Danio rerio: one gene and its partners. The protein of the gene in region 7 binds, or shares a complex with, the protein of the main gene of each other region. Links are inferred from orthologs where the notes say so. Each region holds a gene or a part of one and is shown on either strand. Other genes may lie near its edges. The genes, in order: lsm5, snrpd2, lsm3, prpf8, snrnp200, usp39 and lsm4.

What was found.
Region 1: lsm4 (region 7) and lsm5 share a complex: the UniProt entries of both Homo sapiens proteins name them as parts of the precatalytic spliceosome. The link is inferred for Danio rerio from reciprocal best matches to the Homo sapiens genes LSM4 and LSM5.
Region 2: lsm4 (region 7) and snrpd2 share a complex: the UniProt entries of both Homo sapiens proteins name them as parts of the U4/U6-U5 tri-snRNP complex. The link is inferred for Danio rerio from reciprocal best matches to the Homo sapiens genes LSM4 and SNRPD2.
Region 3: lsm4 (region 7) and lsm3 share a complex: the UniProt entries of both Homo sapiens proteins name them as parts of the precatalytic spliceosome. The link is inferred for Danio rerio from reciprocal best matches to the Homo sapiens genes LSM4 and LSM3.
Region 4: lsm4 (region 7) and prpf8 share a complex: the UniProt entries of both Homo sapiens proteins name them as parts of the U4/U6-U5 tri-snRNP complex. The link is inferred for Danio rerio from reciprocal best matches to the Homo sapiens genes LSM4 and PRPF8.
Region 5: lsm4 (region 7) and snrnp200 share a complex: the UniProt entries of both Homo sapiens proteins name them as parts of the U4/U6-U5 tri-snRNP complex. The link is inferred for Danio rerio from reciprocal best matches to the Homo sapiens genes LSM4 and SNRNP200.
Region 6: lsm4 (region 7) and usp39 share a complex: the UniProt entries of both Homo sapiens proteins name them as parts of the U4/U6-U5 tri-snRNP complex. The link is inferred for Danio rerio from reciprocal best matches to the Homo sapiens genes LSM4 and USP39.

What each region holds. Positions count from the first base shown.
Region 1 is NC_133187.1:13,906,270-13,911,490, forward strand, and holds the start of lsm5 (U6 snRNA-associated Sm-like protein LSm5), read right to left. Parts: upstream 3,279-5,221; 5' UTR 3,197-3,278; coding exon 3,151-3,196; intron 2,389-3,150; coding exon 2,293-2,388; intron 1,052-2,292; coding exon 1,024-1,051; intron 362-1,023; coding exon 289-361; intron 1-288. UniProt on the Homo sapiens protein: Plays a role in pre-mRNA splicing as component of the U4/U6-U5 tri-snRNP complex that is involved in spliceosome assembly, and as component of the precatalytic spliceosome (spliceosome B complex).
Region 2 is NC_133193.1:43,800,706-43,804,538, reverse strand, and holds the end of snrpd2 (small nuclear ribonucleoprotein Sm D2), read left to right. Parts: intron 1-2,224; coding exon 2,225-2,399; 3' UTR 2,400-2,682; downstream 2,683-3,833. UniProt on the Homo sapiens protein: Plays a role in pre-mRNA splicing as a core component of the spliceosomal U1, U2, U4 and U5 small nuclear ribonucleoproteins (snRNPs), the building blocks of the spliceosome.
Region 3 is NC_133197.1:33,572,120-33,577,060, forward strand, and holds the start of lsm3 (U6 snRNA-associated Sm-like protein LSm3), read right to left. Parts: upstream 3,116-4,941; 5' UTR 3,053-3,115; coding exon 3,032-3,052; intron 2,839-3,031; coding exon 2,728-2,838; intron 1-2,727. UniProt on the Homo sapiens protein: Plays a role in pre-mRNA splicing as component of the U4/U6-U5 tri-snRNP complex that is involved in spliceosome assembly, and as component of the precatalytic spliceosome (spliceosome B complex).
Region 4 is NC_133190.1:30,754,366-30,759,322, forward strand, and holds the end of prpf8 (pre-mRNA-processing-splicing factor 8), read right to left. Parts: coding exon 4,930-4,957; intron 4,798-4,929; coding exon 4,606-4,797; intron 4,512-4,605; coding exon 4,274-4,511; intron 4,185-4,273; coding exon 4,056-4,184; intron 3,946-4,055; coding exon 3,832-3,945; intron 3,752-3,831; coding exon 3,578-3,751; intron 3,433-3,577; coding exon 3,239-3,432; intron 3,156-3,238; coding exon 2,916-3,155; intron 2,837-2,915; coding exon 2,695-2,836; intron 2,337-2,694; coding exon 2,196-2,336; intron 2,088-2,195; coding exon 1,948-2,087; intron 1,826-1,947; coding exon 1,623-1,825; intron 1,521-1,622; coding exon 1,366-1,520; 3' UTR 984-1,365; downstream 1-983. UniProt on the Homo sapiens protein: Plays a role in pre-mRNA splicing as core component of precatalytic, catalytic and postcatalytic spliceosomal complexes, both of the predominant U2-type spliceosome and the minor U12-type spliceosome.
Region 5 is NC_133183.1:33,113,497-33,117,980, forward strand, and holds part of snrnp200 (U5 small nuclear ribonucleoprotein 200 kDa helicase), read right to left. Parts: intron 3,872-4,484; coding exon 3,708-3,871; intron 3,613-3,707; coding exon 3,441-3,612; intron 2,911-3,440; coding exon 2,718-2,910; intron 2,632-2,717; coding exon 2,576-2,631; intron 2,494-2,575; coding exon 2,398-2,493; intron 1,693-2,397; coding exon 1,540-1,692; intron 1,452-1,539; coding exon 1,352-1,451; intron 1,234-1,351; coding exon 1,097-1,233; intron 986-1,096; coding exon 908-985; intron 785-907; coding exon 611-784; intron 52-610; coding exon 1-51. UniProt on the Homo sapiens protein: Catalyzes the ATP-dependent unwinding of U4/U6 RNA duplices, an essential step in the assembly of a catalytically active spliceosome. Plays a role in pre-mRNA splicing as a core component of precatalytic, catalytic and postcatalytic spliceosomal complexes.
Region 6 is NC_133180.1:74,850,277-74,854,269, reverse strand, and holds the start of usp39 (ubiquitin carboxyl-terminal hydrolase 39), read right to left. Parts: upstream 2,801-3,993; 5' UTR 2,726-2,800; coding exon 2,674-2,725; intron 584-2,673; coding exon 505-583; intron 1-504. Other genes in the region: si:ch211-283h6.4 (UPF0561 protein C2orf68 homolog), read left to right, coding at 3,154-3,263.
Region 7 is NC_133186.1:6,962,419-6,966,341, forward strand, and holds part of lsm4 (U6 snRNA-associated Sm-like protein LSm4), read right to left. Parts: intron 3,478-3,923; coding exon 3,379-3,477; intron 3,218-3,378; coding exon 3,016-3,217; intron 1,161-3,015; coding exon 1,080-1,160; exon of another isoform or gene 1-1,079. UniProt on the Homo sapiens protein: Plays a role in pre-mRNA splicing as component of the U4/U6-U5 tri-snRNP complex that is involved in spliceosome assembly, and as component of the precatalytic spliceosome (spliceosome B complex).

The DNA of each region.
Region 1 (5,221 bases), on a different chromosome or scaffold from region 7:
TCACACCCTAGGTACATTATAAATAATATGAGATTAAACTGGAATAGCAAAAAAGCTAATTATTAAAATGACAGAAGCAAACTTCTTTGTTTTTGTTTATAAAAATGTAAAATTGAAATAAGTTTACAAAATGCCAAAACAGAACACTTCTGACAACAGAAAATGTACATAAACTTGCATTAAAAATTACATTTTAAAATAATGAAAAAAAATTAAAATGACATTAAAGCAAATATTGTTTGCTGGTGCATGCATGAGATTACTTGCAGATGAACTTATTTGTCATACCATTGTGATGTTATTGCCATTAAGGAGAATCTGATCCAGTTTTGTGATTCTTCTTCCCTCTGGTGTGATTTCACTGTGATACAAACACACAAGCCCGAGATGAGGAAATATTTAATACCAAGTGTTCAAAAATGTAACCTACATCTATAAATTCTTGTGAAAATACTTCATAATCCAATTTTCCTTGCATCTTGAATACATGAGTGTACACTTCACATTCAAGTACACTTCACATTCAATTGATTTTTTTTTTTTTTTAATCAATGATAATACTTGGAATTATTCTTTAATAATAATGTCACAAAATATTAAACGGTTTCAATAGTGATAAAAATTTGCTAATACCATTGAACTTCTAACTAAGCATACTTTAAAAAAAGTTTCTAAAAAGATTAGAAAATGCCTTCTCTATGCAGTATAGTTTATAGAATAATTAGAATACAGTATAAATAGTCTAATGGTATAAAACTTGAGCTTTAGTTAATCTCTAGAACGAAAGTGCTTTTTTTATTGATAGTTTATCCTAATAAAACAAACACCTAAAATTTTGGAGACAGGATACTGATCGTTTGAAACTCGAACAGCATTTAGAACAATAGAAGGTTGAGTAAATGTTGACAATTAAAATTTTTGAGGGAACTATCCTTTAAGTCAAAGCAGAAGAGAATGCATGAATACACTGTGCAAAGACAATTAAGCAAATATTTAATATTTTTGTTTAGGAAATATACTTACAATTCTGTGACATCCTCTAGGACCATGTCTGATGTAAAGCATCAAGGAAATGTACAACATCGCAAAGATAACATTACATAGACATTTACATTTCTCTGTTGACAACATGTGATGTAGTGTATTGTATTTTTTTATTTAATGCCATGTCAGCAATGCAAGGCTATTTTCATGGCAAGAACATTTCAATAATAAATATACAATTAAAAAACAAAAACAAATGAATACATAAATTAAATACATCTTTAAATGCTAATACATTTTTTTATAATTTTTTTACTATTTTCCAGGTGTCATTTTGCTAAAAATGTCCTGAAGAGACATCATTTGATAAAAAAAAAAAAAAAGCCTTCTGGAATTGTTAAAAGCAGGACAATCCAGTAAAATCTGTTTTACTGTAAAAGAAAGTGTGATGTGCAAATATTGAGCAGGGTCTTCACATTTGAGCAAAAAAAAAAAGCATGGATCATTCTTGCATGTCCAATACAACATCTAGTAAAAATCACTAAATCAAATTTAGTCTTAAAATGACTAAAAATTCAGTTTGAGATTTCAGGTTGTATTTCATACAGTTTATTATTTCTCAATGCATCCTACTCCTCTTGCCACTTATTTAAAAAGTAAACGTTGATAAAAGATTTCATCTCTAAAAGAGGAATTTGGCATTCGTTCACAACTTATTTCAAAGCATCCTTAGCTGCTGGATCAAGCTCGCTCGTTTCCTGAAAGCCCAACATGTCCCGGAACCCAGCAAAAAAAAAAAAAAAAAAATATGAAAAAAAATGGTTTTGTAAATGGTGAACTTTAGTTATAATATCATTAATCAAAGGATGATCATTTTCTGAAGATTCCATCACTTGGAGGCATGATTTGGAGTCTGTAAATATGATAGAGTTCTTTTGTTGGACATTTTCTTATATTAAAATGCTAAAACTAAAGCACAGGCTAATGAACATTCTTTAGGCAGACTGATTCCACAACGTTGTTGTTCAGTAACCATTGCTGCCGTTATGCCATTTTCCACCCTGGAAGAGCAACCGCTGCGTAAAACATATGCTAAATAAGTTGGCGAGTCATTCCGCTGTGGCGACCCCAGATTAATAAACGGACTAAGGGAAATAAAGGGAAATCTTATGTGTAACTATATCTTTAGCTAGCAGTATTTATAAAAAAAAAAAAAAAAAAAAAGTTGAATCCAAAACTAAATTGTAAACATCACAAATATTTGACAGTGTTTTGTTTATTTTTTTACCGCCAGTAGGTAAAGGATACTGACAAAGTCGTCAAACCCAAGCAGAGTTCCCACAATCTCTTTATCGTTCTTCATAACGATGTGAATCCGAGAGCCAATGCACTTATCCACCAGCTCTGAAAGACAGCACACAATCCCCATCATAAACACAGTCACATCATTGGCTGTTAAAGGAAACATTTTGAGTGGTCAGTGTGATATACAACTGTAAAACCTTGTAAAGAAATTCAATTTATGTTAAACGTTACTTCAACAACTATACAGCCAAGGTAAGTTTTTAACGAACCACGTTTAATAAAATTTAAAATTTCTTTGGCTTTAACACTAGGTGTGGGATTGAGTAATATGTTAATACCAAATTCATTCTTTAAAGTACTAATTTTAGGCTTATTTGACTCAACAACAAAAAAATCCTGCGAGTAAAGAGTGGAGTGGCTTTTAATCATTTGACACGGTATCTCTAATGTCGTAACTCATACATAAAATTTTATTTTCAGAGTATCTTACTTATAAATACATCTTAATGGAAATTGTTAATGATAAATGTGTTCCCAAGTCATAATTACAATATTTTAAACTCCAACAGAGGGAAACATATTAGTGATTTATTTTTTTCGCCCACACTAACTAAATGAACTGGCTTCCGTTTATATATAATCAATCACACATTGATGTATAAATTTGTGAAATTAAATATTTAAGTTAAAATAAAAACACATTGACATGATTAGGGCCACATCTTTTGTGCACAGGTGTATTCAATTAGATAAAAAAGCAAAGTGAGTTACGAACGTGACTGATTGGCATCTCTGCCCCGTACAAAAACACAAAAGTTATGTCAGTAAATGATAAGCAATTTTAAAGAAAGTGAAACAAACCGAGTGGTAAAAGCTGCGAAGGATTCGTTGCTGTGATTGCCGCCATTTTGATAACAGACCTGAATAATCGGGACCGGAAGCCAATTACAAGCATGGATAATCGATATCAGCACACATCGATAGCATCTTCTTCTTCTTCTTCTTTCTGTTTTATGGCGACTAACAATTAAAAGCATTATCGCCACCTACTGTACCGAATCTTACTCCGATGAAAGGGCAACAAAAAGAAACGAGGAGGGAGGGAAAGGGGGGAAAAAAACACCTTGGATGTTTCATATTGTCCAATCTTTGCATCTAGACCACATACTCATGTCAGCACTGCGTGTTCAGCTCCTCTAACATAAAGGGCCTTTATGACAATGATTGAGAATACTCTCATCCATAAATATAAGACTATAATAACCTAAATCCGAATACTCTATATACCTAATAAACGCTCTATATACTTGCCAATCTATTATACCTTTTCCTAGAATAATTTTATATATTGTTTTATCTTCCCCACACTGACTGAATAACATATTGCGATGTTTATTATATTTGCTACATATAAATAGTGCATAATCCACATTTTCAGTTACACCACATACATCACATTTCCCATCCTCATGTAAACCCATTAACGCAAGTGTTGCATTTAACCCTGTGTGTCCCAATCTTAATCTTGATAACCACACCTCTTCCTTCCTATTTCTTCCTTGATTTAGTGTTGTCCCTACTGTCTGTATAATACTATAGTGCCATCTTCCAGTATTACTATTATCCCATCTAATTTGCCATTTATTTATTAGTTTTTCCTTTAAAATCGATTTTGCCTCTCTTTTCCCCAGAGGTACATTTACTTCCTCTTGCTTATTTAGTGCTTCCTTTGCTAATTTGTCAGCAACTTCATTACCAGATACCCCAATATGTGATGGAACCCAGCAGAAATAAACGACTACTCCTATTTCCTTTAATCTATATAAAGATAAATAGATTTCTGTTATTAAATCCTCTCTATCTGATTTTGAGTTTGCTATACTAACTAAGGCTGAAGATGAATCTGAACAGATTACTACTTTGTTTACATCGATAGCATGAGAGGGGCTTGGCTTTTTGTACAGCCTGTGGCTGTAACATTAGAGCAGTGTTACCCAAGTTTTTTCTTTTAAAGGGCATGTCAGTCAGTCAAAATGTTGCATCATATAGGCTACCAAACTGTATGTCACAGTAATTTGTCACGGTAATTTGGAGTTTTATAGCTTGATTATAGCTTGATTAATTTTTCCATCTCCCAGTATCTCCTCTCTGATGGAATGACGGACCAAATCGGAAACCAAAACACAGAACACAGTACACTTCCACAATAGGTTTCCATTTTTTGTAAAACTTGACAATACTGTAACTGTTCCACTTCCAGAGTAAAAAAAAATCATTATAGGCCTAAGGTTGTATTCAGACTTGAAACATCAATACCCAGGTAACAAGGAATTCTGGCCCAGATTTGGTATAAAGCTGGCATAGCCAATATGCAGCCTTTATGATGCAAGCTAAGATTGCATCAATCAGCGATACAGTGTCAGACACAATGCACTCAAATGGAGCAAGTGACGTCACTGTGATGGGTAGGGTTAGGGGTGGGGTTAGATGGGGCTATTAAAAAGTATTGTATGCAACTCAGATTGCACTGCACCAGGTCTGCACCCAGACCCTCTCGTCATAGCATTCATTTATTCAGCACTGGCATACAGCATGTAAGCCAAACAGGGGTCAGGTTTGCCAGGTAGCACTGCCTTTAAGGTGGCACGCATGACATGGTCCAGATGTCAAATGTAGAAGGCTATTTGGCCCAGATGTTAAATATTGATATATGGGCTACATGGTTTCTTGACCCACATTTGAAATACATAAAAAATTTAGCTGCATGGTGGAGCGGTGGGTAGCACAATCACCTCAAAGCCAGATGGTTACTGGTTCACAGCCCCGGCTGGGTCAGTTGGCATTTCTGTGTGGAAGTCCAAAAACATGTTGTATAGGGCTAGGTAAATTGGGTAAGCTAAATTGTCCGTAGTGTAGGTCTATGTGTGTGAAT
Region 2 (3,833 bases), on a different chromosome or scaffold from region 7:
ATTACCAAGCATAATAAACAAAATTACGACGTAAGGCTCAGACAGCGTCACCAAATTGTGCCTAAACCATTCAGAAACTGATACCGTATATGCGACCTTAGGTTTGCGGTCACCTGTTTGTCTTGTTTGTATTCTTCTGCGTAGGACGCTCTTTCTTCAAACACACACACACACACACACACAGAGATAGAGAGAAAAAGAAGAGAGAGAACCAAGCAACACCCAGCAACTCTCTTTCTCTCTCTCTCTCTCTCTCTCTCTCTCTCTCTCTCTCATTCACACACACACAAACACACACCGAGAGAGAGCACCAAGTGACACACGCAGATTGCATATTCGGAAATGTATTCCTGCACAACAAGAAATCGGGTTGTCCCCCGCGGTACAGCAGCAGGAATGCAGACCTCTAGTTCATATTTACCACGTCTTCCTTCTTGTTCGGTCGAATCCGGAAATACTGCCAAACTGCAGGTCACTTAGTGCGCGACTCGCCACCTCAACTCTCCCTCCCTCTCTCTCCTCCACACTGTCCCGTGATGACAATCACGCATACTTATTTGTAGGCAATAAATAAAGGATATTTAATATTGAATACTTGTCTACTATTTAAATTCAATGTTTTTTATGACGGTATAACGGTACTGAAACTGACACCGTGGCTATTTTTAGATCCTGCGGTATACTATATTACTGTATTACCGCCCAAGTCTAATATAAACATAATTATTAACTATTACTTAATAGTATATAAACTATTACTATATAACATATATAATATATAAACATTATATTAACTGTTACTATATAATAAATAAACTATTACTATATAACATATATAATATATAAACATAATATTAACTATTATTATATAGTATATAAACTATTACTATATAACATATATAATATATAAACATAATATTAACTATTATTATATAGTATATAAACTATTACTATATAACATATATAATATATAAACATAAAATTAACTGTTACTATATAATATATAAACTATTACTATATAAGATAATATATAAACATAATATGAACTATAATTATATAGTATATAAACTATTACTATATAACATATATAATATATAAACATTATATTAACTGTTACTATATAATAAATAAACTATTACTATATAACATATGTAATATATAAACATAATATTAACTGTTACTATATAATATATAAACTATTACTATATAACATATAATATATAAATATAATATTAACTGTTACTATATAATAAATAAACTATTACTATATAACATATAATATATAAACATAATAACTGTTACTATATAATATATAAACTATTACTATATAACATATAATATATAAACATAATAACTGTTACTATATAATATATAAACTATTAATATATAAGATAATATATAAACATAATATTAACTATTATTATATAGTATATAAACTATTACTATATAACATATATAATATATAAACATTATATTAACTGTTACTATATAATAAATAAACTATTACTATATAACATATATAATATATAAACATAATATTAACTGTTACTATATAATATATAAACTATTACTATATAACATATAATATATAAATATAATATTAACTGTTACTATATAATAAATAAACTATTACTATATAACATATAATATATAAACATAATAATAACTGTTACTATATAATATATAAACTATTACTATATAACATAATATATAAACATAATAATAACTGTTACTATATAATATATAAACTATTAATATATAAGATAATATATAAACATAATATTAACTATTACTATATAGTATAAACTATTACTATATAACATATAATATATAAACATAATATTAACTGTTACTATATAATATATAAACTATTACTATATAGTATATAAACTATATATAAACAATTTTTTTCATAACACAGTATGCTCTCTCTATTGTAATACATTTGACATGTTCTTAATAAGCATCATAAGCATTTACATAAGATGTCCAGTTTAAGGTATAAGGGGATATATTTAAATCCCACCCAATACTTCACCATTTCTAACACTTCACAAAAGTCTTAAAGAAATCTTATTAACAATTTTGTTTCAGTCTCATCCTCCAGCGCATATCTCATGTTGATGGTGTTATTTCAGGTCCGCACCACTCATTATTTTAGTTGGAGTGAGTCATCTACATGGCTGCATGTCAAGTTGTTGTCTGTTTTCTCTCGTGTTCTCAGGCATTGTAATATGGTTCTGGAGAATGTGAAAGAAATGTGGACAGAGGTGCCCAAGAGCGGCAAAGGCAAGAAGAAGTCAAAGCCAGTGAACAAAGATCGCTACATCTCCAAGATGTTCCTGAGAGGCGACTCGGTCATCGTGGTGCTGAGGAACCCACTCATCACAGGGAAATAAAGCTGACGTGTAACACGACTGTTCAAGTACAGGCTGTCTCCTGGACACACACTCACTCACACAACTGTGTTAAAAGTGCTAATTAGGCTTTTCAGCTAATTAATTATTACTTCATACACAGAATGCCTTGAGCTGAAACAATAATGTTTAGCTGGAAAACGTTTAACATCATCTGGAGAGATTGTCTGGTCAACAAAATGATAAAGATGTTGGAGTTAATTTTGTTGTTGTTATTGTTTTGTCATTTGTGATTTGTTTTCTAAATAAATTTTTGGATATTCAAGTCTTGATCTATTCAATCTATTGTATGACTCTAGGATGTAGGCATGGAACGATAACCGTTTTCAAGGTATACTGCTGTTCGGAAAAGTCAAGGTATTAAAACCGTCATCATTATCTTTTCATTTGTGTCTAGGGTGTATGTAGGATAATATAGTAAATAGTTTATTTCCTTTTTTTTTTTTTTTTTTTTTTTTTTAGGACAACATTATCTCCAGCTGGAAAAATATTCAAAGATGTCATTTTAAATTGTAAAGAAATCTGTGCTTTTGAAACTAATGAAAACAGCAGAAGTCAATGATTCATTTTCATTATTTATTTAGCCTGACATTTTTACTGTATGAATCCCTTTACATGATCTTCCAGCATTATACAAATTATTTATAGAAGTAACCGACCCATCAGAAAAAAAACTTTAATATTTAGCCCTGTATAAGTCTAAAATTTCACTCATGGTCTTAAGAGTCTTAAAGTCTTGCACTTGATTTGAAGAAACCTGCAGAAACCCTGATGTTGTGCTTCCCAATCTGGCCATTATTGCACATCAGCAACAGCAACAATCCTAATCTCAATACCAAACTTTAACCTTTTTATTTAAAAGGGTCATTTTTAACTCTGTTTTATCATAATGATTTAATTATTTTCCTTACAAAAACATTTGTTTAAAAGTGCTCCATATATTTACTGCTGACACCAACTTGGACAGATTGTGTATAGATTTAGTTTATTAACATTTGATCAGTTGTTTAAAGAGAGTGTATTTTGCTTGCTTGTTTTTATACAATGTTTAAAATATTTTGCCAAGAAATGTCTAAAATATTTAAAAATAAAATGTTATTATAAAATTATTATTGTATTATTAAATGTGTTGAGATGCAGAAACCTTTAAGCACCATCAGAAATTTTCCTCTTAAATGTGCATTTTTCCTTAGCCTTCTGTGTTTGAAAAAATTTGAAATTACTGAACCTACACAATCACCTGAGAAAAATGCATAGAGGTTTTTGCATCTGAAATCTTGATGTATTAAATTATAAAAAATATACTATCCGCTTGTTAAGTGTGAAGCAAAGCGTCTCCGGGTCCAAGCGCTCTGTTCAACTGAATGGGGAGACTCATAAAATGGTAATAATAAGCGTTTACAAAGCAATTTAATA
Region 3 (4,941 bases), on a different chromosome or scaffold from region 7:
GTGCTAGATGTGGCAAACAGTTACCTGAAAATTACATCCCACAGACTTTTCATAGTGGACTTGAAGCCAATGGAAGTCTTCCACTCTTGGAAAAGTGTAGATGGTGGATTAACATTCAGCACATGATCACTAGTATGATGTGTCATTATTTATAACTTTAGATGCCATGGTTTCTAAAACAAAATCTGTCAGGGTTATCTTTCTCATCTTCAGCGCTTTACAATTTTCGCGGTAGTAGCCCTCTCTGTCGTCCGAAGCCAGAAGGCGACTGAGTGATTAACAGCTGATATTAACCAATCATTCGCATTCAGTGCTAGAGCAGTGGTGGGCCAATAAGAAGAGCGCAAAGGCAGGGCAAGCATTACGGACTTGGATTTGTTTACTGCAACAAGTTGACATGATAACTGTTTTAAACCATTCCCGAGCGCTGCATTTTTGCAGACAAAGAGCAGACAAACTGGTTGCACACAACAATTTTAAGCTCTCGCAGAAATGCTCCCAAATATATTTTAAGGTCGCATAGATAAAATTTCGGGCGCATATGCGACCAAAATAGTCGCAATTTCGAGCCCTGTTAATGCAAATATGGTAAATAAAAGAAAATAAATATTTAAAGAAATGAATATTAAAATAATAAAAGTATATTTATGTCAACATTTATCCTTTTTGGTTGTGCTGTTTAATTCACACAAAGGAAGTTGTATTCAGTACATTTTTGGTCATCCATAAGTTTATTTACCTCTGTAAAATACAAAACATTTACATTTTTCTGATCCCTTATCTCTGTGATTTGTTATTAAAATCAAACAGATTTTTCAATATACTGTTCATATATACATACGTACTGTTAAAATAACACATTAGAACTGCTGTAGACTATTAGTTTAGACTTGTATTTTAGATCTAAATACAATTACAATATAAATATTATTTTAATCCTCTGTATGTTTCCTTTCTTTTACTAAACACTTTACATACTACACTAATGCGTGTAGTCAATTATTAGGATAAAACATTTGATTATTACATTTTAATAGATTTTATCAATTCACTTTTACATGTTTTTATCCTTTATTTTCTCCAAAAAATCCACAGACCAAATTCATGTGACTTTAATAACAGAACATAATACATTTAGAGACATAATTGAACTTGAGTCTGTATAAAATGTAGTATTTTCCCTCAAGGGCAGAATAACTAGAGCAGTGGTTCTCAAACGTTTTTCATCAAGTACCACCTCAGAAAAAAATTGTCTCTCCAAGTACCACCAAAATGAGCAGTATTGAGATACAATAGCCTTGTAGGCCCAGTAAAGCAGCTACAACTCTGCACAGTTAAAAAAACGTGGCAGATTACATGAGAAATATAGGCTATATGTCATATGACATTATATACATCATTTTTATCAATTTTGAAATGTGTGTAGCATGTACATGACATATTTTATTCCTCCACGTACCACTAGAAGGAAGCCTGCGTACCACTAGTGGTACACGTACCACAGTTTGAGAACCACTGAACTAGAGTATATAATATGTACAATGTGGTAGTTTCTCTCATGTGCAGTATAAATAGAGTATATAATAACTACAATGTAGTATTTTCCCTCACATGCAGTATAACTAGAGTATATAATATTTATATAAGTATTTTCCCTCATGTGCAGTTGTAGTTTAATTAGTATATATATATATATATATATATATATATATATATATATATATATATATATATATATATATATATATATAAATAGTATTCCCAGAGATGGGTTGCGGCTGGAAATGCATCTGCTGTCTAAAAACTTGCTGGATAAGTTGGCGGTTCATTCCGCTGTGGCGACCCCGGATTAATAAAGGGACTAAGCCGACTAGAAAATGAATGAATGAACATAAATATAATAATGATAAATATAATATGCCTAATGTTTGCCTCAGGTGCAGGATAACTAGAGTATAATCTGTTTAATTTAGTTTTTTCTCTCAAGCGCAGTCTAACTAGAGCAGGGGTGGCCAATCCTGTTCCTGGAGATCTACCTTTGCTTTGTTTGAAACAATATTTTTTGTCATTATTAGTGCAAACTTATATGAGCGATTATATCATTAAATGTGGAGGGGGGCCTAACAATATTTTCCAGGGAAAAAGGGGGTCTCAGGCAAAAAAAGGTTGGGAACCAGTGAACTAGAGTATATACTAAAGTAGTATTTCTCCCGCACATGCAGTCTAACTATAATATTTAATGTTTAATTTAGAATTTTCCCTCACGTGAAGGCTAACAATATATCTATAAAAGTACTTTACCTCAAGTGCAATTTAATAATGTTTAATGCAGCATTTTCCCTCACATGCAGATTAACTAGAGTCTATAATATGTTTAATGTAGTATTTTCCCTCACGTGCAGTATAACTGTATAATGTTTAATGTAGTATGTTCCCTCACGTGCAGTATAATTAGTGTAACTTATATATACACAATGTAACTTAGTATTTTCTTGCACGTGCAATGTAACTAACTTTATGTAACATTATATAATGGTTAATGTAGTATTTTGAATCAGGTTTAGTATAACGTTATATAATATGCTTAAGGTTGTATTTTTTCCAATAACGTACAGTAGAAACGTGTATTTAATGTAGTATTTTCCCCTCGTATGCAGTATATTATGTGGCATTTCCCTCACGTGCAGTATAACTAACTTAGAGTATGTAATGTAGTATTCCCCTCACATGCAGTCTGCCACGCAGTTCTCTGTCATTCCTCATCTTTACATAGATCCTCTCATCCAGACTGAGCCGAATCAGATCCAGAGGCTCTTCTACGGTGTTGGTGGTCTGTTGCTGTAAAGTAAATTTCAGTGATGTATTTTATTTGAATGAAAATGTCCATGCAAACAATCGTCGTAGTTACAAGCTGCTTTAGCATAGGCTACCCGTGTGTTCAACTAGTTAAAAATAAACACAATTAATACGATTAACCTCCGCGATAATCAAACAGCTAACGAAATATTTATACAAAGCAAAAATTGCAAACCTGCTCAGCGTCGTCCGCCATCTTTCAAATCTACCCAGAATGCATTTTCCGTTTCTCTCGCGAACAAATCATTAGACGGAAAATGCATCTGCTTCCTGTTAGACATAGATATATACGTTAGATGTCGCCTACCCTGTTGTTGTCTATTGGAAGGAATGCGTCAATAGATCCACCATGTTAGTACAGGGAACCGCTCCTTTGAAATGAATGCAAGCTGTGACCATCCAAAGCCAAAGATATACACATAGGCTATGATCGGGAGTTTTCCCGGATGTCACTGTGCAATTATTTATTTATTTATTTTTTTTAAATTACGAAAATTATAATTTTTCATCCCTTTTCTACATTGATGGATCAGTGATCGCACAGACATTCCTGAAAAAAGCTTGTGTTTGTGAGTATGGAAGTACTATTCCCCCTCCCTGTTAGATTTGAAACACATCTCCTCCTGCTTCCTTTAAATTCCGCATTTTCATATCTGGGAAAGCCCATCTCACATTTCCTGCAAAGGAAAATTAGACAATTTAGTTGTATAGTGAAAGTTGTGAGGCTGATCATCTGGATTGCATTGTTATCAAGAGTAGGCTATTTGGTGTTTATTTATATGCAATTTTGCATATGAAATTGCAACTTTATCAATTAGGCAATGTTGGGGTCACATCAGTCCAACCTTTAACAAAACAGTCACAACTGGACTTGATTTGGTTGCTTTATATGTGTAAAAAAAAAAAAGAAAAAAAAAACTTATGGTGTTTGAGGTCAAACTGACCACACTGAAAAAAAATGAGAAAAGTGGAAAAAAAATTAAGATTATTTTTTTTAAATGAATTTTAAACCCATTATAAATTTTAAAAAGTTTAACATTTCTGCAAAGGCCTGGGTCTAGAGCACAAATAAAAATTGGAAACAAAAACTTTCTGAATATTAAAATTTTCTAAATATTTTCTTTTGCATGTCACACAACATGACAGTAAATTATTATAATATTTCTTTAAGAAATAAATAACAAGTTTAGCTTGCTGCACTTGAAATTCAACTAAAAGCAAATGCTGAGAATGTGTGACAGTCAGTTAAATATATATATATATATATATATATATATATATATATATATATATATATATATATATATATATATATATATATATATATATATATTAAAAAATAGATGCAGTAACCTGTGCCTGTGTTGCTATTCAGTTATGTAGATCGACTGTGTAAGCTGAGAAAATATTTTATAGCCTACCATTCCTTCTAACGCTGAAGGACTACTGAGACATTCAAGCATGGGATGGGTCCTAAAGCATCAAGAAGTAAAAGCTGAAATGAATAGATGCATAAGGACCCCTGCTGGATATATGTGGAAACTGCAGCTTTTTCCCTCGTAACCTCAGATGACATCATTTTATTTCTAAAGTATAAAACAATATGCAGAAACCTTTTATATTAAATTTAGGACAGACTTTTATTGATTTTTAAATGAAAAGTTGATTTTTCATAAATCTAACAATGGCTTAATTTAATGCTTGAAATAATTAAACCGCTTCAATATGGTGTATTTATAATACAGGTTTAAGTAACATACATTAAGATGCATGTTTAATTAATTAGCAATAATTCGAGCACACTTCAATACAATTCTCACAGTTAATAAACCTTTAATGACTTTTTCCTTCAATTAACTCTCAATTTGCTGCGTGTTTACCCAGAATAATCAGTTGTTTTTCTTTATTCAAATAGATGTATCCCAAAAAAAAAAACATTTATTGTGATTTGTTTTAATTATCAGGTAGTCTAAATGTTACATTCACCAATGCAAATGAGTAATCTAAAAACAAACAGCTCTGGACATTTTTAAACAGCTCTTAAAGTTTATTTTGAGCCTATAAAGATTTTTTTATATATATATA
Region 4 (4,957 bases), on a different chromosome or scaffold from region 7:
AGAGAGCTAACATTTGACAAAGGAGAACTTCCAGAATCTGTCTCAGTTCAGAGCTGGATTCAGCTAAAAACTCCTTCAATTGATGAATTGTGAGCCACAACCTGTTTTTATTAGTTAAAATTGATTAATTACATACACAGTTTCTAGTGTTAACGGTATGCTGTAGCGAGGATGTAAACAACAGGAAATGCTGTTTGGCACCGCTAACAATTTAGCTACAAATTCATATTTATCAGTCAAACACTTGTAAACACCCAGTCTTCACTAGCGCTGCAGTGTCTCTACAGTATGTAGACGCTTTCCGTGCGTTTTACATCTCAAATAACAAACTCGCAAAAGAAATGTGAAAAGTTTATATTACTTACACATGCTTATTCCCAATATATGTAAAAGACGCTTGAGAGATTTTATTTTAGAGAGCAGGCGTGATGTTTATCGATGTGCACTGTACTTCATTTTCTGTCCGATTCAGCTACTGTTTACACAGCACCAAGGCGTGGGCTTGTAGGGGCATGATGCGAGCCGATCCGCAAATCACAGCACATGTTAGCTGACCGATCAGAGCCTTTTGAGGGCGGGCCTTTCAGAGGAACTAGGAAATATGACTGTCATTTTCATGTTAGCTGCCTTGCTGTATATAATCAAAGTAAGATATAAAAAAATAACATGACTTTCTACAAATGAAGCATGAGCACACATTGCTTTGCATCTTTTACAACACAACCAAGCCTTAAAAATACACAGTAGACCACCCCTTTAAATTATTTTTTTCCACCAAACTTGAGTACTGTTATTTTATCAGTTAATATTACATTTAAATGTTAACACATTTTGCCATATTAAGTTGAGTGCTGAGCTGTTCAGTGTACTGTAACAAATGCATGCAGATTGGTTTCCTCTGAAAGCATAGTGTCCTTGCACTTTAGATAATAAAGCTACTGTTAATTTAGTAAACAAACCAATAATTTACTCTACGAAACAAACCAGAGCTTATAAAAGTTGTAATCTTTATTTAAACCCAAACTACAGTGTACATAACAGATGCACAACATAGCTACAGGGAAAAGACAAATTATTCCGGATTTATAAAAAACACAATGTACTACAAACAACTCCGAAAAAGGGTACAGATATTTTTAGACAAAAAAGTCATTCATCTCACAACAACAGACAAAGCACAATGTGCTTTCAGACTTGTGCATAATCAAGTCAATGACAAGCAATTAATGATAAAGCAAAAAACAGATGACATGCTTCGAGTTTCCAAGCATTTACATTACTGCTAACAGTATAGAGGGACAAAACAGAACCAAAGCATTGCTTTAGCCTGTGGGTGCTTTTACTTTAAATAGTCTCTGTTTGTACTTATGCATACATATCCTCACGGTCAGCATTGTAGATTTCACCCTCCTGCAGAGAAGCAAAATTGAGGAAGTGAGACGGTCTGTGGACTTCATGGTAGAACTCTTTCGGATTGGCCAACTGCAGGTCATACTTCATGTTGGGATCATGGCGGACACCTAAAACAAGAAAAGAGAAATTAGCAAAAGTGCACTGTGGTATCTGCAATTTACAAACGTGTATCACTTCAATATATATCATAAAAATGAATCTATGCTCACCCATGAAGTTGTAGTTCCAGGAGACTTGGCCAGGCACCATGAAGAAGCCAAGGAAACGGTCAGACAAAAGCATCTGAACCCTTTCATAGTGTGAAGGCAAGTAACCTTTGGGGTTATTACCCTTATCTGTGTTTTGTCGACCCCACTCATATCCACTGGGAGTCAGCTTGTAGGCCGTCAGTGTGCAGGAACCAGGGGTGAAGCTAGACAAGCAAAACCAATAGGTTTAAGTCTCACATGCAATACTATATTATATGTAATGCAGTACATTATAAATTGGAAGTTAGGAACACAGCCACATTGTGTTAATGTGTTTAATCTATACCTGCAAGTGATAATGATAGTCTTTTCGCCATCCCAGGATGGGTTGTCAGCCATGACCTTTGCATGGGTGGTGACATCCTGAGGAGAGAGCTGGGGCGATTCATTGGGCTGTGTATGGATCCATCCAAGAGGCTCCATTTCCTATAAAAGAAAAAGGGCAGCATTTGAAAAGGCTGGGAGGACACAGACTGCTGATAACACCAAATTAGATGTGCAAATACAACAAATGTGCATGTGTAAATTCCTGACCTTCAAGTACTCGTGTTGTGGCAGTTGGTTGGGAAGGTGAACGGTCTGATGTGTACCCCACTGTGGCACCATCACAATACAGCGGATCTCCTTCACCTGAGGGTTATCTGGAGGGCTGGTTCCATACAGGTAACCTGCAATCTGCAAGGGGGGAAATATACAAGCACAAATAATGCAAGAAAGGTAGTGGAAAACCAATTTTTTTATTTAATTTCAAATAATTATTTAAAAAAAAAAAGGCAGATTATCAAGTTATGATGCAGAAATAGACGCTTTTCAATATTACACATAAAATTATATATTAAAATAGTGTTAGTCTCATGAATTGCCATACTTTGAACTAAAGAAACTTTCTCCTCCAAGTCTAATTTGTTTTACTCATAAAATTTTTTCAAGACTCCCACAGATCATATACTGTTTAAATCTGATATCATGACAGCCCTGAAATGATTCTAAGCAAAAATAAGAGAAGACATTTTAATTAGACTGTTAATCTAACCTGAGCACGCAGATCTGAGATGCAGATGAACTTCTTCAGAACGTTCTTGGGCAGGATGTAAGTGTAGCCCGTTTCTTTGATGTCATCCGATGACACATAGATGTGGTTGGTACGCAAGTGCAAGTTTGCAGCAGAGATCGCCCTGTGAGATGAAGAAAACGGTTTAACAGCGAACTTTAGCTGTGCTTTAATGACCAAAAAGACAAGAAACATTTCCGTACCTTACTCTCCATTCAGTTTTGGAAGAGAAGGTCTGCGTCTCGTAGTTGCTGGTGGTGGAGGTGATGATCTCATCTCCGTGTTTGTTGACTGTGCGAGTCTGAGTGGCCGTAAGCTGAGACTGCTCTTTGGTCTGCTTCTCAATCTCAGCGATCTGCTGTCTCTGCTGGGATGGAGCAGAGATTTCCATTCCCAGGATGATGTCCCTGATTTCAGACTGAGTCAAAGATGCCACATTCACACTGTGGAGAAGATTGAGAATTTACAATCTTGAACATCCCAAAGTATATATTTTTGAATGCACTTGGAAATCTGTATTTCTTACTTGTTCTTCTTGCCATAGTCAGCCAGGATGAGATCTTTGAGCTGCACCTCCACTTTGATCCACTCCTCATCCGTCAGAGTGGGCCAGATGTGGTGGGGCTCGGTAATGGTGGTCTTGTCAGGTTTCAGAATAACTTTGGCACGATCATTGTTGACATGAAGCGCTCTCAGGATCAAAATCAAACGAGAGAATGCCTAGGCAACAAAAACAGATTTTAGTTTTAGACATCGTAGCATAAGTGGTGGAACTCTCAGAAACAACAAAATTTTGCTTCAATGATTATTTAATTTAATGAATAGCTTATATTTATTAAGTTTATAGAATAAAAGCTGGATTTACAGTGTAAGAGGAGATGGTCTTCAGCCAGTCGTCATACAGATTGAACAGGACCATCTGAGGCTCTGTGGCCTTCAGAATGAGGTCTCCAAACTTCTCCACTTTCAAACAGGCCTGGAAGGGGAGCTGGAGCTCAGAGCCTTTGATTACAATGTTGGGGAAGTCCAGCAAGTGCACCTGGAGAAAACAGATAGTTGTTAACCTAAGAGTTAAGAGCTTCAACACTCGTTTTGGTTGCTAAAGGTTAAGTGCCTAACCTCAAGAGGATCCAACATGCCCTTCCTGGTCACAATAATCTGTTTGGGCTGCTCTTCAACAGGCAGCGATCGGATCAGGGCAGCCACTTCTTCAGCAGTCTTCCACTTAGCCAACTACAAAGGCAGAACCAGTAACCAGTCGGATAAGTAAAAAAAAGTACAAAAAAATAATAATAAAAAAATAAAAAACAACTGTGTAAACAAAATACGAGTGATAAACAGACCTGTCCAAGACGCTTTTGTCCAGCCCATACAGAAGTGTGAATGATCTTCAAGAAAAGCTGTCCAGTTCTGGGGTTGAAGATGAAAATGGCTCCATTGATGGGTTTGGTGGTCAAGTTACCTTCAAAGGTCTGAAACAGGATAAAATTGACATTTTACCACACAACCCAAGGTCAAAACAATCAAAACAACAAGGAACATCTTTAAAATGTTGACTTGCCTTGTGGATGGTGACTCTGTACACATTGGTGTCATCTACAAACCAGATGATCTGGTTTGAGAAGAGCTCTCCATAGTTCTGGGAGGACAGGTAAGGCTCAGTGGGCTCTGAAGAGTAGAGTTGCAGACCCTTGCGGATTCGCTCTCTTAACACATACAGAGCCGGATTGGCCTTCATTATCTTTGCCATTGCCTGCTGGATCAGAGGCTTGGCTCCGGGAAACCAGTTTCCATAGGCACTGCAGAGAAAAGAATAAATACTTGAACATCTGTTTTTTTTTTTTAAAGATTGTTCTTGATTATGTGACAAATCACATGATCTAAAAATCTGACCTGTGAAGATTGTAGGCCAGATCAATGGCAATCAGAACTCCAGTGGGTGATGGGTAAATACTCATGTTGTCAGTGGTGTAGTCCAAGAACTTGGCCCTGGCATATCTCTCAATGTCATGAGAGTCATAGTCACCCCATCTGAGCTGAATGTCAATCCAGAATTTCTGTGTGGTGGTGCTGTCCATTACATCCCTGTAGAAAGAAATGCAAGAATCTTAAAACAGGGCATCAGTATGTCACTTTCATGAGGGTATATGGGCTGGCACCATGCATGACATGATTCCACTTAATATACAAGTCAATATCTATGAAGCTGAGACATACTTGGAATCTGCTAGAAGTGAGGGGCGTG
Region 5 (4,484 bases), on a different chromosome or scaffold from region 7:
TTCAAATCCAGCTTGAGCATACTTGGGCAGTTTCTCAATACCCACCAATGTCTTTGAAAGAAATAAGAGAAAAGTGAAATACTGGCCAATCAACCAGCAATTTAAACTCTGTTGTATACACTTCTGTTCAAAATGGCCAATAACATTTTTTTTAATGGAAAAAAAAATGTATATAGCAAGACAGCATTAACATGATCAAAATTGACAGCAAAGATGTTACAAAGTATTTCTGTTTCAAATCAATAGTGTTCACTTAAGCATAGTGATTAGAGAACAGCGAAAATAAATCTTTCTTGCGACACAAACAAACCACATCCATTTTGTTATATGGATATTCACCATATTAGAAAGATTTCTGAAAGATCATGCAATACTAAACAATGGAGCATTTGCTCTGGAAATTACATTTTGCCATCACAGGAATAACAATTAAATGCTAAAATATGAATACAGTTTTAGATAGCAATGTTTCCACAAGATTTCAGTATGATCTTTGATAGCTTTTGAAAGCTTAATAGCTTTTTTGTTTTACTTAGCCAACTTGATGTGGCAATAAATTAACCAAAAATCCCTATCCCTAATAAGAAAAGAAAAACTAGCAGATAAATACCTCTTCATCACCAAAGGGTTTGGGTTTGAGTGCAGGCACATGAACCTCCTCATAGCCCTTTCTCTGTTTGCGGAAGGAGCCGTCAGGCAGCTGGCAGCGCTTGTTGGCCATGAAGTGACTACCTTGAGTGAAGGTCAGATCTTCCAGGTCTAATAGCTGCCTTGAGGACACAGACTAAAGACAAAAAACACAGAACAATAAAGTGTCACAATGCACATTAGGAGTGGTTATCAAACTGAGAAAAATTACATTTAACTCTAATTTTAAGAGGTGGACACAGCATTAAGTGGGATCTACCTCGCCATGATCAATGTCCATAGACTCCAGATCATCCACACGAGATTTTCTCATTCTCTCCCTGCGAGATCTCTCCTCCTGCAAGAAAACACAACATCATAAATTTACAGACAGACATTTGTCTTTAAATGATTAAAATCTCAAACAGTCCAACACTAATGTGAATAAAACCAGAGGGCAATTCCTGACCCTGATGATGTCCTCTTTTTCAGTCTCTTGCAGCTGGTAGAGAACTTTGGAAAGATCCTGATCGGCCTCCATTTTATTAATGATCTTCTCCTTCTCTGCTTCACTTTGAGCACTGGCCAGCATGGTGCAGTACAGGACTAAATATGACAAAAAAGCAACATTAAAAAAAAAGCAGTATATCTTTTTAACATTAAGTCACATTGGCGAAACATTCTCAAAAATTCCAATCCATTTAATCCAACACAATCTACTTACTCATCCGCCTGTGCTGGCGCAGGACCTTGATGAAGTCGAATGTGTTGAAGCCTAAAAGCAGCACCAACTGGTTCTCACACTCTCTGTCATCACTGGCAGTCTAACAAAAAAAGTTTTCATTCAGCAACTCAAAAACAAAACAAATACAAACAAATCCCTTAGTCTCTAAGGACATGAACATTCTCTACCTTAAGGATCTCCAAGACCTCGTCTGCTTTTTTCTGGGACACGATGGCATCGTTGTAGAAGCGGCTGAGCTGTCGCTGAAGCCAGAAGGCATCGATGTCTCGAGGGTGAAGATCCTTCTTTTTGGTCATCATTACATCTCCTGTGTTTCCCAGCTATGGAGAAAGAAAATGATAAGCTGGTTCTTGTACTTTATATCAGTGATCTGTAAACCCTATAATTATTATTTATTATTATTATTATGTACTTATTTATGATCCAGGTGTAGTTTTTTCATTGATTATTTCTAAAGCCTGGTTTCCAGGATAAGGCCCTAGTTTATATTTGGCATACAAGTAATTTTTTATAAAAGTCCTTTAAAAAATCTTGAAACAAAACAGACGATATATTTTAAGACCTGTCAGTGCAAACTTCCTCAAGTTAAAACAGCTCAAACTTCTAGGCCTAAGATTAAACTGAGGGTTGGTGACAATGTATTTTTGGTTAATTGTAGCCTTTGTAATATTTTGTGGCTGTTATTGCTTTTTGTGTGTTTCCATTATCTAATCTGTAATAAAGTTGGATTAATTGCAGGCATTTGGGTAATTATATTTAATTGTGAATTTGCAACTGTAACAGTTTATTATAGTGTTTATTATCTATAAACAATTCATTAAAATTATTGACTATTTGAAGCAGTATTACAAAGGTAGCTTACATAAAATGTTAAAATAACATTAAAATCTAACTTTTAAATAAATAAATAAATAAATATGACAATTTAGTCATTAATAATAATATAAAATTGTGGGACCCAGTGACCTGCTTGAAAGTCACTGCTTTATTATAACATGCAGAAACACGTGGAGCATGTGACTTACATTTGCAGTCAGTGTGCTGCTTTCATCTGCCTCTTCTCCCTCACTGTCATCAGAGCCTTCATCCCGAACCTCTCCATACTGGTCCTCATCACCCTCCTGCAGATGAACCAACAGCACAATGACGTCACTTAAAGAGCAAAAAACACATTATCATAATTCAACCAAAGCCAAAGCTCACCTCCTCATCGGACTCAAACTGCACATTGACTCCATAGGTTTCATCAATGTTGTCATCTGCAAAAAGACAGACAGTAAAGCACAATCTACCTGGACATCAAGTTGAGGAGAGCTTGGACACCAAAAAAATTAAAATAAAATACCCATATTCTGTAGCTCTTTGTCTCCTCCATAGTCAGAGATCTTCTTTCCCAGGTTGACCAGGACATGGTAACGTGTGTCATCTGTAGGCCCCAACAGCTGCTCCACCTCCCTCCTCCTCTCTTTGTCTCTCATCTTGTCATTTTTCAGCACAGCCAACACCTCGTCTGCTGCTCCACACAGGATATCCCTTGGCTTAGATTTTAAAAAATATATATGTAGTTTATATTGTGATATTTTAAAAAAATTCTATCAATTTCTTACATTCATAACATACAAAATTAGCCCAAATTTCTAATAAAGCATTGTCATTTTACACTTAATGGATTGTTAAAAATAGAGATTCATAAAGAGATTAACTTTTGCTTTATCAACATGTAATTTTGCAATTACACAAACATACAAAGGTCAGCACAATTTTTTTGATAGATTTCTGGATGTTTTGAAACAGTTTCTTTAATCCATGTTCATTGATTTGAACAAAAATAAACACAAATATTTAAAAAAATGTAATTAATAAAAAAAAAGATTCAAATTAATCAACATTTATACTTTATATAAATATATACTTTAAATATAGATTTTTAAAATATAAATCTGTCACCAATAACAAAAAAGCAGTCATCAACCAGAATTTTTATAACAGCGCATCCCTAGCAAAATCTACAGTAGTTCCATTAAAATTTCATATTCATAGCACATATGAACAAGGACACTGTTCCTACCTGATCTCCAAGAGCGGCCTGAATGAAGCTGAGCAGGATTTCATATGTTTCTCTGGTCTCTTTGGTTTTAGGTTTGTACACAATGCCCACCATCTCATCAATGCCCTCAGACAACAGTGTGAAGCCCTTCATCTTGTTGATGTCATGTCTGTCCTCGTCTCTCTTTCTCCTCCTGCATCACACAATGCACCACATTTGTTTAGTAAATCCTTGACTCATTTGAGACATTTTTACCAGCAAACTTGATGCATTTGTGATCAGACTGACTTTGCTCTCCTCTCCTCCAGCATCTGAGGTTTGGTTCTCTGGCTTCTGTCTCCCATTTTGGTCCCCTCCAGTTTTCCGACCAGAGACAGCACCTCTCCGGTGGGCTCATCTCTGCGTGTTCGGTCGATCAGAGATCTGTCTGCTTGCAACACCAAGTTAGAGTTCTGTGGAAGAAACACAAACACTCACAATCAGTTTGATGGTAAGTTTGAGTCTCAAGCTCAAACTGGCTATATGCATAATAAGTGCGTGATGCTATAAATCTATCTTGTTGCCATGATTGTTGAAGCTTTTATAAGAATATGTGATGTTTTCAAAAAGATTAATTCAACAGGTATAATAACAAAAAAGTAAATTGCAGATTAAATTGCACAAGGATTATGAAGTACAATAAATAACACTTTGCAACAATAAACATTACTAATACATTAACTAATATTGAAAGTGAGAAATAGCTACATTAAAAAAGTAATGCAGTTAATGTTAGTTATTAACAAGTTATTAAACATTAACAAGGAAGTTGACATTTGCCAAGACAAATAAACGGTTTACATGTAGTTTTCATTCATCAATTAAGTTTAATTAACTAATGTTAACAAATGAAGCTTCACTGTAAGGTGCTAACATACAAGTACATAAAGAATATAACTATTTTCAATGAACATCTGACATGTTATAACATTACGCTGTTACACATTACATTATAATGCCAACATGCATTATAGATGTTATTTATGACAATATATTGTATATACCATATTGTATGAATATCAGCAT
Region 6 (3,993 bases), on a different chromosome or scaffold from region 7:
GTAGTGAAGCACATCTGCATAAAATGTAATTTCTGTGTTCAGCCAATGCTGAAACAATAATTGAGGTAAAGTTGATTTTATATTGGCACATTCTGACTTTCTCCCTTAATAACATCTTTTTAGAAAAGTATTATTTGCAAATTCTAAATAGGGAAATCATATTAGCAGCCAATGACTATCAAAGTACAGCATTGCTAACAGTCAATTAAATAGTGCTAATGTTGTTTTGAAGTCATACTTGAACACAATTTTAAACCTAATATTTAAATTAGCCTAGTAAACAATACAGGCTAATATACTATATATATATATATATATATATATATATATATATATATATATATATATATATATATATATATATATATATATATATATATATATATATATATAACAAACATGCCAATATAAGGAACTTTACCTCAATTTAATAATATATTGTGCAGCCCTACAAAGCACACAACAATAAAGCAATAAAGATATATACAAATCATAATAACAAACCTGTTGATTGTGTCGAGATATGGACAATGGCGGCTTCTGCGATCTTCAACATAACCACGACCCACTTTCACACGCACTTCTAAAATTAGCCAAAGACAAAATATAAGAATTCATAACAAATCACAGCTCTCAGTTGTCATGTGGTTCTCTGTTGGGTAAGATTTCTCAACCAACTTCCAACGATATCCATCGTCGTCGTAGGCGGTTGTTGTTAAATATCAATTTATTCATAAAAAATTAATTAATTGTAGCCTACCGTTTTAACTACCTGACCCACATAGTCTTTATAACAAAACCATAAATAAATAAAAGTTACACAAAAATTACCACCTGTCAATCACTTTTTTCCCGTGGGACTAGGCAGACATGAATAGGTAGAGTGATCTGTGCCGTTCTAATGGCTTTTTCCCCACCGCTGGTGGAGGAGACGAGAGTTTGTTTGGAGTTCAGTGTAATTTGTATTGTGATTGATGATAACTTCCTTATTTTATAATTTTTATGAAGAAATAATAACAAGTAAAGATGCTAGGGTTTGATCGTTTGGTCGCATATGCGTCCGAAATTTTATCTAAGCCACCTTAAAAATATTAGGAAGCATTTGTGCGAGTGCATAAATTTTCACTGTTTTCACAACAAAATCCTCACCGCATGCGCATATTTAGGAGACATTTATGCAGAATGCATCTTTGCACCTAAAATTGTGCATTTTTGTCAGTCTTGGGGCAGGACTTGGTTTACTTGATATCTCTCACGCTATTGGTTACACCCCCCCCCCCCCCCCCCCACCCCTCCCCCCCCGGATTAATAAAGTGACTATGTTGAAAAGAAAATGAATAATAATATATATATAGCAATAGTTATTAAGATTAAAGTATACCTTTTATTTAATTTTAAATAAATGAGGATATTATCCACGGCAACTTAGTAACACAGTTTGATATATTTACCTTCAGCTCACGGCCCTCAATCAAGTTTGGTTTTTGGCACTTCATAATAAAAAGGCACCCATGGTTTAGAGCTTGGCAATTACCACTTTCCAGAAGACAAAAAAATGTATCTATTTATCTATTATATCTACAGTATATTTATCTATTATATCTACAGTATATTTATCTATTATATATATAATGAAATAAAACTAATGTAGCTCTAGAAAACTTTAGGCAGAACTGGGACTTTAGTGCATCAGAGAAATGCCCTCATAGCTTTTTATAAAGAGAATTTTTTTTTTATAATTGAGCTGGTATTTACTCAAAAACATTGTTGGGTTACAGCTGCACCACTTTCGAAAATAGTAACAGAGGAATAATACAAAAGTTGCTGTTAATATTACTATTATTATTACTTATTCACACATTCATTCATTTTAACGGTCCTCATATCGTTTACTATGCTAGTTTAAATATTCAGTCTGAAATAATAATAATAATAATAATAATAATAAACAACATTTAAACCAGTTTTGTCTGACACATATATTGTATTTTAAAAGAAATAATCCTTAACGTGTCTATATATGAAAAATATTCATAGCAGTCATATTTAATACAAGTGCAGTGTCTGCTATCGTTTCAAATGACTTTTGTGTAAATTAAACATTCGGTTGTAGCATACCACTATAATTAAAAGAAATATAATTTCAGAAAAGTGGTTATTGTAAATTCTAAATAGGGAAATCATATAGCAACCAATGAATATCAAACTACACCATTGTTTACGGTTAATGAAACAGTGCAAATGTTGTTTTGAAGTCATACTTGCATGTTATTTCAGACCTAATATTCAAATTATCGTGGTAAACAATATAGGTAGCGTTAAAATGAACGAATGTGCAAAGATAAAGCCAACTTTACCTCAATAACAAACCTGTGTTTCATTTTGCATCTCCAGTAAACGTATCTTAAATGAAATAACTTAGGTTTAGATCTTTGACCTGGAAACCAAAATATTATTTATGCAAGACATTTATTTAAGATTTAATGCCACGACTTTCATTGTGTGGACCTTCTTACGTCTATTTGAGGGCTTTATTTTAAGAAAGAGAGCTTTGAAAAGCCAAAATCAACACTCAATTCAAAACAGACACGATAATCTGTGTATATCTGTGTCGTGTGCTACAAAAGCTAACGTTACCAAGTACTGCTAAGCTCATAAACACTCCAGGCATACCTTCCTCTTCATCTTCATCAAAATCCCTCTCCCGTTTCACGCCTCTGATCATATTTTAAGGTAAATAGCAACTATAAATCAAGTAAATTCAGCGCTGAATGAACGCACTGTGAACGCGTTACAAAACTCCCGCTTGCACTTCCGCTGTAGAAAAGGATGGCCGACAAGCACTAAACCCCTGGACCAAAACACAGCAGAATGCGTAAACAAACACCCAATGGTGTTATCTTGATTTTTCATTGCTTATCATATAACTATATACATAAAACTGGATATTTGTTTCAAAGAAGAGCCAAAAAAGTCGAGCTAAATTGTTTTGTGGATGGAAAACAAACCAACTCGAGTGTCGCTTTTTGTCGGACAACGCTTTTGAATCACCGACCCCCAGTGAGCAGCGGCGAGATGTTATAAAGAGAATGTTTGTAGATGTGCTAAAGATGAATTCATTTCAGGAATAATTACATTAAAAGAGCAGAAAGTATGGAGATCATCCGCGATGGGGAGGGGGAGAATGCTAAATATAAGCCCGGTGGTCGTTTGGACATGAGCCACGGTTTTCTGAGGCACATCAGGAGGAATCAGATCGCCAGGTTTCTGTCCACAACAACACTCACTAGTAGAGGAAAACACTTATAATTATAATAAATGAGCATTTTAGTGCTTTACAATGCGCCTTGAAATAGTCTTTTAACATGTCAACAAATGGTTCTAGTTCTAAATATACTTGACAATCATTTTTGGGCTGTTAAAACTGTTGTGAATGTCATTTTAGTGCGTGTTTTAGGTAAATCATGGTTAAAAATGCATGAAAGTCATTATTTGTTGTTCAGATAAATAAATAAAACTCAGCAGGACACATTCTAATGGATTTAATCGCAATTTGAAACACATTTTACTGAAATAAAAACTAAATGTCAATAATGAACAACATTTATAGTTGTTATTGAGGTAAAGTTGGTTTAATAAACGCACATTTGTTCATTTTAATAGCCCTTATATTGTTTACTTGGTAAATTTGAATATTGGTTCTTAAATAGCATCTAAATATGACTTCAAAACAACATTAGCACTATTTAATTGCTCGTAAACAATGTTGTACTTTCATATTCATTGGCTGCTAATATGATTTATCTATTTAGTATTTGCTGATAATACTTTTATAAAATTATATTAATAAGGAGAATGTGTCTTTTAATATGTGACCAAATGGTTCTTGGTCTAAATGTACCTGACAATCATTTTTGGGCATGTTAATGTCATTTTAGCTGGTGTCTTTTATAAAGCATGTAATCAAGTCATTATATGTTGTTCAGAATAAGA
Region 7 (3,923 bases):
TGAGAGAAGCTTGTGGAAGGATACACAAAACATTTGCCCAGATTATACAGTTTGAAATCAAAGCTAAAAAGAAATACCAAGGAAATGTGTGTAAACTTTTGACTGTCTAGAAAGTAAAATAAAAATTCTCAAAAAAAAAAAATTCTTTCATTATTCAGGCATTAAGCAAACGTAAATCATTTAGGTAATCCTAACGAACCTAAAATAGTAAACTAGTATGATTTTACACTAGACATTTAAAAAATGGTTTTGTTCCTTTTTTTTTTTTTTAGAGTGTATGTACACTTCAACTGTATAGCCACAGGCATATCAGCCTGCAGCCCAAGGCCGGTTACTCACTGAAACTAAGCAGAGCTGAGCCTGGTCAGTAATTGGATGGGAGACCTCATGGGAAAACTAGGTTACTGTTGTAGTTGTGTTAGTGTGATCAGCAGTGGGCGCTTAACCTGTGGTCTGTGTGTGTCCTAATGCCCCAGTATAGTGAAGGGAATACTATACTGTCAGTGGGCGCCGTCTTTCGGATGAGACATTCTCTGACTCTCTGTAGTGATTAAAAATCCCATGGCACTTCTTGTAAGGAGAAGAGGTGTAACCCTGATGTCCTAGCCAATTTCCCTCCATTGGCCTTTACCTATCATAGGCTCCCAAAAATCCCCATCTACCGAATTGGCTCTATCACTGTCTCTCCACTCCACTCCACCAATAGCTAGTGTGTGGTGAGCACACTGGCACCGTTGTCCTGTGGCTGCCGTCGCATCATCCAAGTAGATGCTGCACACTGGTGGTGGAGTGGAAAGACCCCCTTTAAGACTGTGAAGTGCTTTGGTTGCATGGCTATTCGCGATAAATGTGCTACATAAATACACATAACATTACGTCGCACGATAACATTGTCCACTTTTCTGTCTATGGAGGACGAGGGCGCTCTCAGATTTAGGATTTAGATTTTGGGTTCTGAAGATGAACAAATGTCTCATGTTTAAGGAAATGAGGGAGAGTAATTAAACACAGAATTGTCATTTTTAGGAGCCCATAATAAAAGGAGGATCTGTTTTATATCTACTGTTAGTTTATGACACCTTGTTGTTTTCCAGGCTTTTTGTCTTGTTGCTGTCCACGGCCAGATCCCTGCATGCCTCTGCCACGGCCACCAAAAACACCTGTCAAATAGAATGGGAATTTCTTTTTTTAATCTGTGTGTGTGTGTGTGTGTGTGTGTGTGTGTGTGTGTGTGTGCGCGCGTGTGTGTGTGTGCGTGTGTGGAGAGTTAAAATTGTCAGGGCAAGTGGAAAAAACTTTAAAGGGTCACGAAACACCAAAACACATTTTTTGAGCTGTTGACAGTGGTATATGTGTCCCACACTGCTAAAAACACTATTAGGACACCTATATTTCACTAAAAAATGTAAATTGGTTGTTTTTGCGTTATTTCAAGCAAATTCGTACTTCCTGTTTGAAACGAATTTTTGAAGCTGCGTCACGGCCATGACATAATAGCGTGTATTCCAGCGTGCAGACTGGGCGTCTGTGATAGAGTGTGTCTTATTACGTCTTACAGTGTGATGCATTAATGCATGAGCAAAGCTTGGTTCAAACCAATCAGCGCGCCCTATTGTGCAACTTCATTAATATTCATTACTATCACAGTGTTTTCAGGACAGAGACGCCACGTTGTGTTGGCAAAACAAGCGTGAAGTGTTTCTTTTATAGTTTGCTGCCATTAAGTTTCGTTTTCCTTTTCTCTCCCCTTAGTGTACGCAACGCTTGACAACAATAACTTACGTGTCTAAGGCGGATTATTGTTTACCTGAGAGCTGTTCTCATCTGCAAATGCTGAAATCCGGATTCGCTTGTAACGTTAGTATTCTCTTCATAATGACGCGGCTCTAGTTGCTGGTGATTGTCCTGTCTCTACAGATTTGGTAAGTGAGCGACCAGTGCTCTTTGTTTATTCAGTTTGTTCGTATCGAATTAAGTTAACTATTGCACTGAGTGCAAACATAGCACCGCATTTTGTGACCGGAATAACACACGTGGCTTTCTGACGCTACCTGCCGTGTGTATCTAAGTTTCTGGGAAATGCGGAGGGTTTTTTTCTCTCATTCGTCGTGCGGTATCAAACGTTGCATGAAAAATACACGCTTACAGCAGTTCCTCGAATCAAATATCACGTTTGTCGCGAGGGGCATGAATGAATTCCCTGAATGAAAGAGCCAAACTGCAGTTAAAGTCACCCATTTAATAATTTGGCAAATAATTCGACTACAGATGTCCATGTAGGTTAAACACCATCACTTTCTCATGTGTGTGTATTTTGACTGAAACTCGCGCGTGCCCAAATAGACACTCCCACACCATCCCACTTTAGTTCCTCCGACACTCCCCCCTAAACAGAGCTGGACACGCCCACTTTTCTGGCTTTTTCCAAAGTAGAGGTGAGAAAACCCTGCTGAAACGAGGTGGTTTCATGGCCCTTTAAGCCCAAAACTGCGTGTACACATTTAAAAAAATATACCAATGAGAGTAAAACTGTCAGCCCTCCTGTGAATTATTTATCCTTTTTCAAAGATTTCTCAAGTGACATTTAATGAAGCAAATCAATTTTCACAGTATGTCTGATAATATTTTTTTCTAGAGAAAGTCTGTTTTATTTCAGCTAGAATGAAAGCAGTTTTTTACCATTTTATTTTCATTATTTATTATCATATTATTAGCCCCCTTAAGCAATTAATTACCATTAATTACCCTAATCTGCCTAGTTCACCTAATCAAGCCTTTAAATGGCAGTTTAAGCTGATCACTAGCATCCTGAAAAAGATCTAATCAAATAATATTTACTGTCATCATGGCAAAGATAAAAGAAATGAGTTATTAGAAATGAGTTATTAAAACTATTGTTTAGAAATGTCCTGAAAAAAATCTCTCAGTAAACAGAACTTGGGGGAAAAGGAGGGCTATATATGTCTGGAATGATTATATGATATGATCTATTGTATGAATATAAAAGCATCAGACCTCTGCCAGGTCCGCCACCTCTTCCAGGTCCACCTCCTCTGCCCTTTCCTTGTGGCTTATTCTGCTGCATGCCACCCCGGCCACGGCCCTTTGACACCACTTCCTCTTTCACCATATCTATAATTTCATCAGGGATTCGCAAGTATTTAATGGTGCTTCCTCTTATGTAGCATTCTGGCATCCTCCAAAACTTATCTCCATCCTGCAAATCAGAGCAAGCAGAAAAAACAGCCGTCACATTTCAGCAAGACAAATAAATAACCTGCAGATTTGTTTAAATAAAACAAACAAGTGTTTTGCTTAATTTTGTAAGGAATCAATAGTCTCCCAAAGACGTTTTCATCTGAATGAAGTCGTATTTACCCGTGAAGTGCAAATAACTTCTCTCAAGTTTATATTCATCCAGTTGTCGCAGCTGACCAGATGGCCGTTGTATGTCTCGCCATTCTTTAACTCAACCAGCTGAAAAGAAAAGCAGATTAACTTAAAAGCTCAATTATTGTTCAGCACTTCATTTTAGGGCTGTGCAATTAATCGAAAATTCGATTTCGGCTTCTAACGATTATAAAAAAACATTAATCGAGATAAACGATTATTCCATTATTTACCGCCCCCGTCCAATTGTCCTCACTTGTTGCTCTTAAAAGCGCGAAAGACCACATGCTTGTGTGTGTGCGCCGCACAGACACAGTCAGAAGCATGCGGTCAGCAGTTGGTCTTATTCGCACATTGCGACGAGCAGAGAGCACACACATCTAAAGTCATTAACGTGAGCGCTTTAATGTTCAAACAGGTGTCAAAACGCAGTATTTAGTGATTATTCATATTAACCCTCATTTGTGTAATAAACAAATGAGTTGAGAATCAAATGACGCGTGAAAGCGAAACCATTAAAGTGACAGAGCACA